Mus musculus: one gene and its partner. The protein of the gene in region 2 interacts with the protein of the main gene of each other region in a biochemical or structural test. Links are inferred from orthologs where the notes say so. Each region holds a gene or a part of one and is shown on either strand. Other genes may lie near its edges.

Region 1 (6,761 bases), on a different chromosome or scaffold from region 2:
GCCCAGGCAGAGGCGCAGAGGCGGCTGTACACAGGCTCAGAAAGGAAAGACTTGATGTCCTCCTGAGGGCAGCAGAGGAGCGCCGAGCCGCCTGTCACTTCCCCCTCCACCCCTCCATAGAAATCATGTTTATAAGTTATGGAAAACCGGGACATTTTACAGAAAAAAAAAAACTTAAAAAACAAAAAATATACGTGGAAAAAAAAATAGGATCTGGGAGGCCTCGGTTTTCTCCAGTTGTTGACATGGTTGCCAGCAGGCGGCGCCGAGGGTTCAGAAAGCACAGCAGCACCAAGCAGTTTAGAGAAAGCTTGGCCAGGCATGGTCACACCCTCTGCTCTTGGGGACTTACACTGCCGGAACATCAGAGGCCTGGCCTCACCAGGAGGGTGGCTCCAGGTCACTCGCCTCTGTGCAGTCTGGCCCCGAGAGCTGGCAGAGGACTTTGTCTCTGTAAACAGGGTGGGGGCAGGGAGACGGGGCTCAGGAGCCTCCCTGTCCCAAAACGGGCTGAGGTGGTAGCTTGTGCTGACTTTCTCCCAGTGGGAAGGTCAGAGGTCTCAGAAACTTCAGGAAGAAACGGAGTTCCTGGAAGTTCAGCACAATAAGGAAAGTTACTCTGGGAGGAACGGGCCCTAGCACCTTCCCAGGCTGAAACAGGAAATGTCAAGTTGTTTTGTTTTTTAAATTTTGTTGAAGATGTAGCTCTGGGCCTCACGTGTCAGGCAGGTGCTGCTGGGTTCCCTATAGTGCTTTTCCGTGAGGCCTGCTCTGGGGTGTGCGATAAGGGCCTCAGATTGGGCTCTGCATCTCACTGCTGCACCTCATGGCATCCCAAGGGAAGCAAAGACTCACGATGAACTGGTCAGTGTCCTAGACCGCAGCACTAAGACCCTCTCTACTGCCTGGGCTGGAGATGGGAGCTGGCCCTTAGCAACCCATGAAAATCATCTCACCACACCCAGTCCTTGCCAGTGTTTTCTGAAGCCAAAGCTAACAGGCCTGGGCCTGGCCAGGCACCCTGTACGTACCCTTGGAGCCAGGTGTTCCGCCTCTGCCCATCCTGCAGAATCATGTTTTGCCGTGTCTGGTGCCAAACACTGCTATGTGGCTTCTCTCCTGCCATCAACAGCTGGGAACAGGGAACCTTGTGCAGGCAGTGCTTCTAGCAAGCTTGCTGTGGTCTCTGAGCCCCTTGTCCTACCTGACTTCCCAGGTACAATGGCTTTCCCACTTTTTGGGGGTTTTGTTGTTGTTGGGTTTTTTTTTGTTTTTCAAGACAGGGTTTCTCTGTGTAGTCCTGTCGGTCCTGGAACTCACTTTGTAGACCAGGCTGGCCTCCAACTCAGAAATTCACCTGCCTCTGCCTCCAAGTGCTGGGATTATGGGATTAAAGGCATGTGCCACCACGCCCAGCTGGCTTTTCCACTTTTTAGCCAGGACTTCATTCTATTACCTGAGCTCGGGATCTTCCTGCCTCAGCTTTGCATATGGCTAGCACTATAGACCCATGTTCCAGTGAATGACTTATGGCTTGTCTTTTTTTTTTTTTTTTTTTTTTTTTATGTGCATTAGTGTTTTGCCTGCATGTATGCCTTCGTGAGGGTAGCAGATCTTGGTGTTACAGTTGTGAGCTGCTGTGTGGGTGCTGCGATTTTGAACCTAGGTCCTGTGAAATGCAGTCAGTGCTCCTAACCTCTGAGTCATCTCTCCAGCTCCTGCTCTTCTGCTTTTATGAGGAAAAAGAAAAGAGAAGTGGCTTGAGAGTGGAAAATGCACATGCAGGGGTGCACACCTGCAGTCCCAGCATGCTACAGCAGAGGCAGAAGGACCTTTGTGGGTTAGAGGGCAGCCTGAGAATCTTATCTCAAAACAACTTTTTAAAATGTGCTCTGTAGGGGTAGCTCTTCCCTCCCAAGGTGACACATCTGGCAATCGCCAGAAACAGATCAGGAGCATCAACGCTTGGTTTCCCAGGGCTTGGCTTAATGTATGGCTTCAAACCCATCGGGAGCCACCACTGAACAGCTCCTGAAGGAACTGGAGCACGTCCCAGCCTTGGAATGGAAAGAGTTCACCTGTGGTGGAGGAATCAACAACGAGGGATCCCAGAACAACGATCTTCACCCCAGAAGCTGAGCCTCTTAGCCCCCACCCACCCATTTCCATTTAGGCTGCCAGCTCTTTTCTTTACAATGCACCAGACCCCGCGGGGAAAGGGAAGGAGCGGTTCTCAGTGCCCCAGTACCAAGGCCTGGATTATTCAATGAGGTGTCCGCTCCCTTTGTTGGCGGGGGAGGGGAGCGGGGGGTCACAAGGCATCCAAACTCCACCTCTTTCCTCTGCCCTGCTGTGAAGGGGGAGAGAACAACCCGCCTCGTGACAGGGGGCTGGCACAGCCCGCCCTAGCCCTGAGGAGGGGGCGGGACAGGGGGAGTCCTATAATTGGACCGGTCTGGGATCCGATCCCCTGCTCAGACCCTGGAGGCTAAGGACTTGTTTCGGAAGGAGCTGGTAAGACAAGCTGGGCTGGGGATTCACCCAGGGACCTTGGTAGGATGTGGGCTGGGAACCTTGAGATCCCCCGGAGTCCAGGAAACAGGCACAAGAATTGGAAAAGCAGGCAGCACGATAGAAGTCTTGGGGGACAAACTAAGGACTCGAGGTAACTAGCCTTTGCCAGAGTCAGAGCAGGTGGAGGGGTTACCTCCAGGAAGGAGTACGGGACTGTCGGTGCACGGCGTACCGGCTCAACTAGGAACCATCCTATGGCGAAAAAACTCGGGATGAGCCTTAGGCTGCTTTTATATAAATACCTACTGATTTCCATCACAGTCCCCAAGTAACCCGGACTGGTTTCAAACTGTGGCTCCTCATGGCTGAGCTCCCTAAGTTCTGTAGTTGTGGGAGGGTACCACTTCGCAGGGATGGAGGACGATTAAAAATCGTGTTAAATTAACACAAAATGGAAAGCAGGACTTAGCCGGGAAGAAAGAGGAATGTAAGCTGGACCACCCGCTGGCCCTCTGTGAAGTGGAATTTGAACCCTAGGAGAGGGAGCTGGAATTTTTGGCAGCGGATCCACCCCGGGGTGCCGAGATAGCGAACTCGGCAAGGGGAGGTAAACAGACCTTTGGGAAGAGCGGGTGCTCTGTTTTGGAGATGTTTGTGATGGCTCACAGATCTGAGAAGGGAAGATGGGGTTCTCTGGGTGGCCGGAGTCCCTCCACCCCCGCCCCCTGGTGTTCAAAGACAATTTTTCCCTCCGCAGACTGGCCAATCACAATTGCGAAGATGAAGGCTCTGTGGGCCGTGCTGTTGGTCACATTGCTGACAGGTATGGAGCAAGGACTTGCTGTGGTGCCGCTTTTTCTGCTCCTCTGTGGACTCTATTCTAGCCCTAGATCTCTTCTGCTGGTGGGTTGAGGCTGAGGCGGTTCTGAGACCTCTCTGAGATTCAATAGCCCTGAGCAGCTGTTTTATATACTCTTTAGGCCTTGATTTCCCCTAACTATAAGAGGATTGATGGCTTAGTGGGTAAAGGTGCTTATCATAAAGCTTGAAGACTTAACTCTGAGACCAACATAGTGGAAGGAGAGAGCCAATTCCCTCTAGAACTCTGACCTCCAAGGGTACACACACACACACACACACACACACACACACACACAATAAAAAGTTGATTTCTTAGTTGCTCTTAAAAGTGGGGTATACATTTTCTAATTCCACACCTGCCTAGTCTCGGCTCTGAACTACATAGGATACAAGACAGTGCATGCTTGTAGTATCTAAACAGACTCCACAGCCTCCAGACCCACTTCAAAGAGACCCAAAAAGACTGTAGGTCCTGACCCAGCCTTAAACTTACTCTACACAGGATGCCTAGCCGAGGGAGAGCCGGAGGTGACAGATCAGCTCGAGTGGCAAAGCAACCAACCCTGGGAGCAGGCCCTGAACCGCTTCTGGGATTACCTGCGCTGGGTGCAGACGCTGTCTGACCAGGTCCAGGAAGAGCTGCAGAGCTCCCAAGTCACACAAGAACTGACGTGAGTGTCCAGCTCTTTCACCCTCGGCAGGCACCAGCTGATCCAGGGTTGCCTCCTATCTGGGTCCCCAGCCCCTTCTTGTTTCCTTTCTCAATTAGTGTGTAGCCCAGGTTGGCCTTGAATCCTCCTGCCTTCTTTAGCCTTCTGGATGCTGGGAGGAACAGACATTTATTACTTGCTTGGTCGATTGGCTTTTGGCTTCTTGAGACAGGATCCCATTCTGTAACTCAAGCTGGCTTCGAAGGCTCTGCAATTCTTATGCCGCAGCTTCTCAACTTCTGGGAACACAAGCGAGTACCATCACCTCTTGCTCTGTGGTTTCTGGCCCTTCTGTCCTGCCTTCATCTCCTTCCTGTGTTTCCTCTGGGCCTGCAGGGCACTGATGGAGGACACTATGACGGAAGTAAAGGCTTACAAAAAGGAGCTGGAGGAACAGCTGGGTCCAGTGGCGGAGGAGACACGGGCCAGGCTGGGCAAAGAGGTGCAGGCGGCACAGGCCCGACTCGGAGCCGACATGGAGGATCTACGCAACCGACTCGGGCAGTACCGCAACGAGGTGCACACCATGCTGGGCCAGAGCACAGAGGAGATACGGGCGCGGCTCTCCACACACCTGCGCAAGATGCGCAAGCGCTTGATGCGGGATGCCGAGGATCTGCAGAAGCGCCTAGCTGTGTACAAGGCAGGGGCACGCGAGGGCGCCGAGCGCGGTGTGAGTGCCATCCGTGAGCGCCTGGGGCCTCTGGTGGAGCAAGGTCGCCAGCGCACTGCCAACCTAGGCGCTGGGGCCGCCCAGCCTCTGCGCGATCGCGCCCAGGCTTTTGGTGACCGCATCCGAGGGCGGCTGGAGGAAGTGGGCAACCAGGCCCGTGACCGCCTAGAGGAGGTGCGTGAGCACATGGAGGAGGTGCGCTCCAAGATGGAGGAACAGACCCAGCAAATACGCCTGCAGGCGGAGATCTTCCAGGCCCGCCTCAAGGGCTGGTTCGAGCCAATAGTGGAAGACATGCATCGCCAGTGGGCAAACCTGATGGAGAAGATACAGGCCTCTGTGGCTACCAACCCCATCATCACCCCAGTGGCCCAGGAGAATCAATGAGTATCCTTCTCCTGTCCTGCAACAACATCCATATCCAGCCAGGTGGCCCTGTCTCAAGCACCTCTCTGGCCCTCTGGTGGCCCTTGCTTAATAAAGATTCTCCGAGCACATTCTGAGTCTCTGTGAGTGATTCCAATCAGCTTCAGCCTCAGTTTATTGTTTTTTGCCTTACCTAGCACACATTCCATGGCCCTGTCACTATCTGTAGAGGGAGGTGGTTTTGCAGCAATAGAAATGAAGCCTAGGACCTAGCAACATAAAAGAACAAGTGATCTACCACTGAGCCACGCCCACAGCCCCTCACTGGGGGATTCTAGGCAGGGGCTCTACCACTGAGCCACCCGCAGCCCCTCACTGGGGAATCATATCTACCACTGAGTCACGCCCCTCCAGCCCCTCACTACGGGAATTCTAGTCAGTAGCTCTACCACTGAGCCACACCCACAGCCTCTGGGGCTCTTCACCGCCCCCTACCCCTGGATTCTAGGCATGGGCTCATTTTATTTATTTATTTATTTAAGATTTGTTTATCTTATGTATAAGGTACACTGCAGCTGTCTTCAGGCGTCAGGTCCCATTACAGATGGTTGTGAGCCACCATGTGGTTGCTGGGAATTGAACTCAGGACTTATAGAAGAGTAGTCAGTGCTCTTAACTGCTGAGCCATCTCTCCAGCACCCAGTACAGGCTCTTCTATTTAGCTATATCCACCCTTCTTTTTAGTCTGAAATAGGATCTCAACTGATTTTCCTTGCACTCCCTCTAGCCTAGTTTGGTCTTGAATATTTGAATCTTTGTTTTCAAATCAATCTCTACAGGAACTGAGAAAGGCATGTACCACTTCATGTGGGTCAGTTGGGCTACTTTTCCCAACTTCCCAAGCACCCACTGCACAGCTATGCCTTGAATCAATCAACATGTAAGAGACCAGGGTCGCCAGGCGGTGTTTACTTTTCTGGTTGTCTTATCTCTCCTCCTCCGCTCTAGTCTTATCTGACACCCTCTCCTTGCCTTGTCTCTCCTCTTTTTCCCTTCTAGGCTTCCTTTTCTGGCTTCCTGTTTTCCTGATCCTCTGTTATCTCACCCTCCCGCGGTTTCTTTTGCTCTGGGCCTTTGGTTGGCGGTTTCTACGGTTTCTACGTGGCTTTTGGAACCTCAGCCTTTCTCCCTTGCTCTGAAGTTAGCTGGATCTTTGCTCCCTCTGGGTCATGGGGCCTTAGCCCCATTCTTTCTCCCCTGCCTGTGCTGCATGCCTTTTGACTTTCCCAGCAAGTGTATGGAGAGTGAGTTCAGGCTGGGGACACAAAACCATTCTCCCCATGTCCTGGTACTCAAAGGGGTCATGGTGGAAGCTGGAGAGCCCCTGGCTGGCTTCTCCTCCCACCCCCTCAGTTCTCAGGGACTCAGCAGGGCTCCCACTAACAGGGGCAGGCTAGGGCTTGAGCTGTGTCTTGGGTCGGGCCAAGGCTTCAGAACTCAACTGCCTCTGGCACACCCCGAGCCTGCAGCTTTTCCTGGCATCAAACTCAGCATTATCTGGAGGCAGGCACCACTCCCACACATGACTCATTAGGCCCAATGAGAAGATGGGTCGGTGGGCTAGTGACAGGGCCCTA
Region 2 (8,237 bases):
TGGCTCTGTGAGGGGCCCTGGGGCCCTGGCAAGTCTGACCAAAGAGCCCTCGGAGGAACTCCCGGTTCCCACAATTCCAGGGGAGCCAGTCATGCCCTTAGCACCTACCAGGCTGCCCCTCTGCTTCTGCTGGTTGGCCCTTCTCAACCCACAGCTGTTCCTGTCTCTTCACAGATGTGGGCTCTGTGGAAGGCCTGGCCTATCACCGTGGCTGGGACACACTGTACTGGACAAGCTACACCACATCCACCATCACCCGCCACACCGTGGACCAGACTCGCCCAGGGGCCTTCGAGAGGGAGACAGTCATCACCATGTCCGGAGACGACCACCCGAGAGCCTTTGTGCTGGATGAGTGCCAGAAGTGAGCTGCTGGGCCTGGGGGGTGGGAGCTATGTCATACGGGAACAGAAAGGGGACAGGCAGGGCCCACCATTTCTGGCCTCAGTGAGATGCATCACCTCTCAGGGCGCTGCTTAATACAAGTGTCAGAAATGAAGGGAGGTTGAGGGCCGTGGGAGATGCCTCTGGCTTTGTGACTGGCATTCATCACACAGTACCGTGGGACTCAAAGCTTCAGCGAAGGCTCACTGACCTTGAGGATATGGGCTGGGCCTGTTCAAACCCCTTGCTGAGCAGAGGTCTTATTACAGTGACCAAGAGGCATTGTGAAGGCAGTTGTGAGCACAAGGCCCCAAAGTGAGAAAAGCAAGAAAAGGTCAAACAGGACAGCAACGGGACTGCCCACCATTTGGGCAAGGCTAGCCTGAGCAGGCAGGGAGTCTGGTCTACCTGTCCTGCCTACCCTGTCTTTCTTCATTTTGATGTGCAGGTTACTAGTGAGTCACACCCTCTGCATAGCAGTCCTGGCTCACGTCTGAGCGACCTGCCCTCCCCAGTTCAGCTGGAATCAGAATGCTTTCTATCAGCCTCACTAGGAAACTAAAGCAATGCCACAGCCTTGGTGACCTCACCTGTCTGGGCTGGTCCTGGGGCCTGTCCTTCCTGGGCCTAGAGCCTCTGGGGAGGGGCTGTCATGATATTTTTCTGCCATTCTAAAAGAGGCATCCTCGGTTTCAACCAAGTCCCTCCTGGCTGAGCCCAGGAAAGTGCTCTCTCTTTCTCTCTCTCTCTCTAGAGCCCCAGAGCCAGTGGCTTCAAAAAAACCCAAGTACACAGAGAATGGACTGGTTGGCAGAGGGTGGAGGATTTCATGACTGCCAAAGACCTGCCCTGTGGAAGTCTGGGAGAATGTCATCAGGGAGGCAGCTCAGGGGTGACTAGAGGGCTGAGATTGTCTTAGGTTAGGGGAGAGAGCTGGAAGGAGCCAGTATGTCAGGATAGTGGTTCAGCCAGCCAGCCATACTCCTCCTGATCCTCACTGAAGCATTAGTGTCCTTGGAAATCAGATAGTTGGACAGGTAGAACGTCCACTGTATTTCTAGTTGCTGACCCTCTGCCCCAAGGAAGCCTCCCCTCCCCCACCCCACCATCCCACAAAGCAGCTTTGCCAAACTCTTAACTCAGGGTACATCCCATGTAAGTCAATTTGGTGCTCCGCTGTGAGTGTGGTCTAGGCTGGACTTGAGAGTGTGGAAATCACTGTAAAGCCAGGCTGCACAAGCCAGGAAACAGCACTCGGGCCAGGCAAGGTGGTCCATGACTATAATCTCAGCACTGGGGAGGTGGATGTAGGAACGGTGGGAGTTGAGGTCATTAAGCTATGTAACTAGTTGAAGGGTAGCCTGGGATACAACAGGCCCTATCTGAAGAAGGGAGAGAGAGAGAGAGAAAGCATGCTACAGCTGCTGCCCCAGGACAGGCTGAATGGGTCGCCACCTCCATCCATAAAGAGTCCTGTGTGTGGTGTGATGCATTGGGGAAGCAGAGCAGGCAGATCTCTTGAGTTCAGGGGTAGCCTGGTCTACTGAGACAGTGCCAAGACAGTCAGAGCTACAGGAAACTCGGTCTCATAAACAACAACAGGCCGATCCTGTCCCTGAGGAATGGGTCTCCAGGGCCTCAAAGAGGGAGGCAAGCGTTACGCTGTGGTTGAGCTGGAATGTAGCTCATCTGGCAGACGGTTAGCCTGGCACACGTATGGCAGCATGTTCCCGTAATCCTAGCACTTGGAAAGTGGAGGCAGGAGGATCAGGAGGTAAAGAACCTCAAGCCCAGGCTGGTGATCCTAGAGAGAGAAGAGAACGAAGGGGGTAAACAGACAAGTTACAAGTTCAAGTTCAAACAGACAAGTTACAAGTTCATCAGTGAGGTCAGAGAAGGGAGGGGCTGAGGCACGGTGGCCAGGTCTATTCTGAAACTGTTTCTGTTTTCTTTGCTGCATCTCAAAGGAACATGTGCAAAGGGTTCACCACCCCAGGTCAAGTGAATGAATCAAGCTGTCCAAGGGCGACCCTGCTGCCGCTGTGCTGTGCTTGATCCTCCCCACCCCACACCCAGGCCCTTAGCACCACTCCACAAACAGTGGGGCATGGCTTGGCCTTAAGTTCACATGTCCTTATGTTGTGAAGAAAACTTTTTTTGTTTTTTTTTTTTAAGATTGATTTATTATGTATACAGTGTTCTGCCTGCATGTATGCATGCAGGCCAGAAGAGGGCACCAGATCTCATTGTAGATGGCTATGAGACACCATGTGGTTGCTGGGAATTGAACTCAGGGCCCTTGGAAGAGCAGCCAATGCTCTTAACCTCTGAGTCATCTCTTCAGCCCCAGAAAACTATTTTTGAGGGTACAATCCATATGTGCCCAAGGAAATAGTCAATACTTAGCAAGAGTTTCCTGGGTAGTTTGTTAAAGAGCCAGCTTTGATACAGAGAAAGCAGTTAGCAGTAAATACATGGAAAACTCTCATTGAGATGAATACACAGTACTTAGTTTTTACAACCTCTGCAGCAATATTATCCCCCACTAAATAATAGAAAAATAGGTCAGTCAGAGTGGTCGGGCAAGTTGCCTAAAGTAGGCAACCTACTACTCCCCCCCCCCCCCCCCCCCAGCCTACCTGGCTGGAAAGTGGTGGAGCCAGGACTTGGGGCTGGGAGCTGACTCGCTTGGCCACACAGCCTCCAGTCTCAGCAAATGCAGATGGTCCCTTCCCATACTGCAGTACGTGACTGTGGGCACACACAGTCAGATCTAGCCACATAGTGCAGTAACTCAGTGCCTTGGCTGGGCTAGTCTCAGGCACCGAGGCTATGTTGGCTTTCGTGGCTCTCGGGTTGTGAGGCTCATCCTGGGTTCTAGTTGACTCCTTAGGTTCCTGATCCCTTTGCCCGTTTCCCATCAGCCTGATGTTCTGGACCAATTGGAACGAGCTCCATCCAAGCATCATGCGGGCAGCCCTATCCGGAGCCAACGTCCTGACCCTCATTGAGAAGGACATCCGCACGCCCAATGGGTTGGCCATCGACCACCGGGCGGAGAAGCTGTACTTCTCGGATGCCACCTTGGACAAGATCGAGCGCTGCGAGTACGACGGCTCCCACCGCTATGTGAGTGTAGGGGTGGGTGGGTGGGTGGGTGGGTGGGGATGTGGAGGGAACCAAGTCAGGGCAGAGCACCAGACAGGGAGACCCAGGACACGGTGAGAGGTCCCATTCGAGTCCTTAACTGTGGGTAGCCTTTGCCCTGCGTGGTTCTGACAACACTTAGAAAAGAGAGAAGACGAAGCCAGATCCTTCCCAGACGGTCTGTGACTTCCCACGGCCCTCTTGCCTCCCCTCACTGTGCTGTTAAGACCGATGAGGGGCTCGAATGCAGAGACGCTGGTGCTTCTGTCTCATCAGGTGATCCTAAAGTCGGAGCCCGTCCACCCCTTTGGGTTGGCGGTGTACGGAGAGCACATTTTCTGGACTGACTGGGTGCGGCGGGCTGTGCAGCGAGCCAACAAGTATGTGGGCAGCGACATGAAGCTGCTTCGGGTGGACATTCCCCAGCAACCCATGGGCATCATCGCCGTGGCCAACGACACCAACAGCTGTGAGTGGGGCTACCACCCGCAGTGCTCTCCTGATCTCTGCCTGCACACATGTGCACACGACAGTCTTGTCTCTCCTGTTCCCTGTGACTGCACACATGTGCACATGACAGTCTTGTCTCTCCTGATCTCTGTGACTGCATAATACATATATGATAGTCTTGTCTCTCCCAGGATTTCTTCTGTACAGACAAATACCTTTACATACCTTTGGCACCCAGAAACTCCTAAGGCCCCAACATTTCTCAAACCCAACTCCCTCAAGACACCTGTGTACATACATGGACTTGATATACTCAGGTCCATCTCATGCAAAACTGCATGCGCTCACGCACACGCACACACACATGCACACATGCACATGCATTCGTACTGTTCATGACCCTAGGCTCGTCCCCATCCCAGGAGATCCTATCACTCAGCCTAATAATTCCATCTACCCAGAGCCACCTACACCCTAAACCTTACCTTATACCCACATACCAGGTGTAGCCTATCATCCCCTCCCCCAGCCTGCACATAGACATACATACCTACACCTGGCCCTCTCTTGTGTGTGTGTGTGTGTGTGTGTGTGTGTGTGCAGTGTCCACATGCCACCCCATGCGAGGTTCTCCCCGCTGTTGTGAACCCCCATGGCTGCTGGGGTCGTGCAGAGCTCTGGAATGTTAGGTGGGCAATTTGGGAGTGTACAGGGCCAGGGAACCCTCTTCAGCTTTCGGTCCCCCCACTCCCACCCCTGCTCAGGTGAACTCTCCCCCTGCCGTATCAACAATGGAGGCTGCCAGGATCTGTGTCTGCTCACCCACCAAGGCCACGTCAACTGTTCCTGTCGAGGGGGCCGGATCCTCCAGGAGGACTTCACCTGCCGGGGTGAGGAAGCAAGTTGGAGCTGGGACAGGGGCTGCTGTGGGGTGTCAGCACAAGAGACCCTTATTCCAGACTCCAGCCCAGGCTACAAGGCTGGACTCAGGCTAGGTCGCAACTCATGACACCTTCTCCCTCCGCAGCTGTGAACTCCTCTTGTCGGGCACAAGATGAGTTTGAGTGTGCCAATGGGGAATGTATCAGCTTCAGCCTCACCTGTGATGGCGTCTCCCACTGCAAGGACAAGTCCGATGAGAAGCCCTCCTACTGCAGTAAGGGCCCTGCTCCAGCCCCTCCCCCAGTCCCCTGTGCCATGTGACCCAGCTCCATAGCCTCAGCTCATGAAGAGCAGAGCTTGGACCTTAGGAAGGGACGGTCATTGGTGGGGAGGGGGGAAAGAAGCCCCTTCCTATGCCTGCTGTGACCACGCACACCCTCCCCTCACAGACTCACGCCGCTGCAAGAAGACTTTCCGCCAGTGTAACAATGGTCGCTGTGTATCCAACATGCTGTGGTGCAATGGGGTGGATGACTGTGGGGATGGCTCTGATGAGATTCCTTGCAACAGTGAGTACATCCCAGCCTCACCCCCAGTACCCTGCCACACCCCTGCCTTACCCCTACCTCACCACAGCCATCTGCCTCACCCTAGCCTCCTGCCTCACCACAGCCATCTGCCTCATCACTGCCTCCTGCCTCACCCCTGCCTCATCCCAGCTTCATCCTAGCCTCCTGCCTTACCCCTGCTTCACCCCTGCCCTCACCCCTGGTTTTTAGTCTCAGACTGTACCCCGTCCTCACTCCGGCTGAGCATTTGTCCCCAGGCACTCTGAGGACAGGCGAGAACTCTGTCCTGGGCCTTTCTGGCCCTGCAGAGGGACACTGGCCTGATGGTACTGGTGGGCCCTGTTCTAGAGACTGCCTGTGGTGTGGGTGAGTTCCGCTGCCGGGATGGGTCCTGCATCGGGAACTCCAGTCGCTGCAACCAGTTTGTGGATTGTGAGGATGCCTCGGATGAGATGAATTGCAGTGAGTAACAGCCTGCTCATGACTGACAGCTGGCCCATGACTGATGGCCTACTCATGACTGACAGTCTGCTCATGACTGACAGTTGGCCCATGACTGACAGCCTGCCCATGATTGACAGTTGGCACATGACTGACAGCCTGCCCATGACTGACAGCTGGCCCATGACTGACAGCCTGCTCCTGCCTACTTTCCTGTCCCTCCTGCCTCAGGCTGTTCTGCCTTATTTCCTCTCAGCCCCCCTGGCCCCAAATAGTAGCCTCTATCCTCTCTGACCTTGCTTTTTCTCCCTCCATAGAGGTAGTGAGTCAGTGGGCAGCAGGCACCAAATCTGAAACCATAAGTCTAACATGGGGCCAGCAATTGCTCCCATAGTGTGTCTTAGAAGGAGCTAGGTGTGACCCCTCACCCACCCTCACCACCCCTTCTATTCCATCTTCCACATTGGCCCCTAGGTGGCGCCCTGCCCTTCCTCTTCTCTCGTGACCCCACTGACCCACCCTCCCTCCACCAGGTACCACAGACTGCAGCAGCTATTTCCGCCTGGGCGTGAAAGGTGTCCTCTTCCAGCCGTGCGAGCGGACATCCCTGTGCTACGCACCTAGCTGGGTGTGTGATGGCGCCAACGACTGTGGAGACTACAGCGATGAACGTGACTGTCCAGGTTGGCCAGCGGAAGCTCGCCGGGTGAACGGGAGACCCGGGGCTGGCAGTGTCTTCATGGCTGGCAGAGTCTTCACATCTCCCTTCTACCCCCAGGTGTGAAGCGCCCTAGGTGCCCGCTCAATTACTTTGCCTGCCCCAGCGGGCGCTGTATCCCCATGAGCTGGACGTGTGACAAGGAGGATGACTGTGAGAACGGCGAGGACGAGACCCACTGCAGTGAGTGCCCTGGGACCCTACCCAGCTCCCACCTCACAGTCCTTATGGAAAGCGCCCTACACGGGGAGACACCTGGGTTCCACTGTGTCTCATCCTCTCAGACTCCAGAATAGAGTCACTTCTTCAGTTTGTGATGAGTCGCTCACCTGCCCTGCCTTTCCTTGTCTTCTTATTACTTTCTCCTCTATTCCAGACAAGTTCTGCTCAGAGGCACAGTTCGAGTGCCAGAACCACCGGTGTATCTCCAAGCAGTGGCTGTGTGACGGTAGCGATGATTGCGGGGATGGCTCCGATGAGGCAGCTCACTGTGGTAAGCAGTGGCCTGAATCCGGTTCAGGGCGGTCAGTGTCCTACCCCCTAAAGAAGGGTCCATATACCAGTGGGCCATGTTATCACGGCTGCCTGCTCTGCCCTGTCCCCTCCTGAGTCTCTCTGTGTCTCCTTGCCCCTCATGCAGAAGGCAAGACATGTGGCCCCTCCTCCTTCTCCTGTCCCGGCACCCACGTGTGTGTCCCTGAGCGCTGGCTCTGTGATGGCGACAAGGACTGTACCGATGGCGCGGATGAGAGTGTCACTGCTGGCTGCCGTGAGTGGGAGAGGCCGTGAGGAATGGGTGGGCATCAAGCCTCGCAGCCTTGCTTTGCAAACACTGGCAAATGAGGTCAAGGGTAGGAAGAACTTCAGTGGGAGCCGTGCGTTTAAGGAGATCACAGATCCAGACCCCTCCCATTCTGCCCATTGCTACCACTCATGTTGCAGGAAACTTAGGATTGGGGGTGGGGGAGTGACTATCAACAGCTAGTAAGTAGGGCAGGGCAGGAGTAGGGCAGGCCTGAGGAGGGACTCTGCCTCCATCCCCAGTGTACAACAGCACCTGTGATGACCGTGAGTTCATGTGCCAGAACCGCTTGTGTATTCCCAAGCATTTCGTGTGCGACCATGACCGTGACTGTGCTGATGGCTCTGATGAATCCCCTGAGTGTGGTGAGTCCCGTGACTGGAGGAGTAGCCCTGCCTAGCCGTGCTGGAGGTCCAGCCTCATCATCCCCTCCCCCACCACAGAGTACCCAACCTGCGGCCCCAATGAATTCCGCTGTGCCAATGGGCGTTGTCTGAGCTCCCGTCAGTGGGAATGTGATGGGGAGAATGACTGTCACGACCACAGCGATGAGGCTCCCAAGAACCCACACTGCACCAGCCCAGGTCAGCCTCTAGGTGGAGCCCTTTCTCCTTCCTGTGACCCCACTGACCTGTTCCCACCACCCTCCATGTTGGCCTCTAGATGGCTCCCTGCCCCTTCCTCCTCCTCTTCTGTGATCCCACTGACCAGTTCCCGCCACCCTCCACAGAGCACAAATGCAATGCCTCATCACAGTTCCTGTGCAGCAGCGGGCGCTGCGTGGCTGAGGCGTTGCTCTGCAACGGCCAGGACGACTGTGGGGACGGTTCAGACGAACGCGGGT

The links.
Region 1: the proteins of Lrp1 (region 2) and Apoe form a complex in vitro, tested with the Homo sapiens proteins (2 studies listed by IntAct, with this or other methods). The link is inferred for Mus musculus from reciprocal best matches to the Homo sapiens genes LRP1 and APOE.

The regions. Positions count from the first base shown.
Region 1 is NC_000073.6:19,694,764-19,701,524, reverse strand, and holds Apoe (apolipoprotein E precursor), read left to right. Parts: upstream 1-2,336; 5' UTR 2,337-2,514; intron 2,515-2,903; exon of another isoform or gene 2,904-3,001; intron 3,002-3,051; exon of another isoform or gene 3,052-3,121; intron 3,122-3,126; exon of another isoform or gene 3,127-3,271; 5' UTR 3,272-3,294; coding exon 3,295-3,337; intron 3,338-3,877; coding exon 3,878-4,046; intron 4,047-4,421; coding exon 4,422-5,145; 3' UTR 5,146-5,281; downstream 5,282-6,761. UniProt on the Homo sapiens protein: APOE is an apolipoprotein, a protein associating with lipid particles, that mainly functions in lipoprotein-mediated lipid transport between organs via the plasma and interstitial fluids.
Region 2 is NC_000076.6:127,555,731-127,563,967, reverse strand, and holds part of Lrp1 (prolow-density lipoprotein receptor-related protein 1 precursor), read left to right. Parts: intron 1-174; coding exon 175-364; intron 365-3,308; coding exon 3,309-3,513; intron 3,514-3,807; coding exon 3,808-4,000; intron 4,001-4,745; coding exon 4,746-4,871; intron 4,872-5,008; coding exon 5,009-5,137; intron 5,138-5,312; coding exon 5,313-5,432; intron 5,433-5,780; coding exon 5,781-5,894; intron 5,895-6,406; coding exon 6,407-6,556; intron 6,557-6,651; coding exon 6,652-6,774; intron 6,775-6,967; coding exon 6,968-7,084; intron 7,085-7,231; coding exon 7,232-7,360; intron 7,361-7,635; coding exon 7,636-7,758; intron 7,759-7,836; coding exon 7,837-7,977; intron 7,978-8,123; coding exon 8,124-8,237. UniProt on the Homo sapiens protein: Endocytic receptor involved in endocytosis and in phagocytosis of apoptotic cells. Required for early embryonic development. Involved in cellular lipid homeostasis.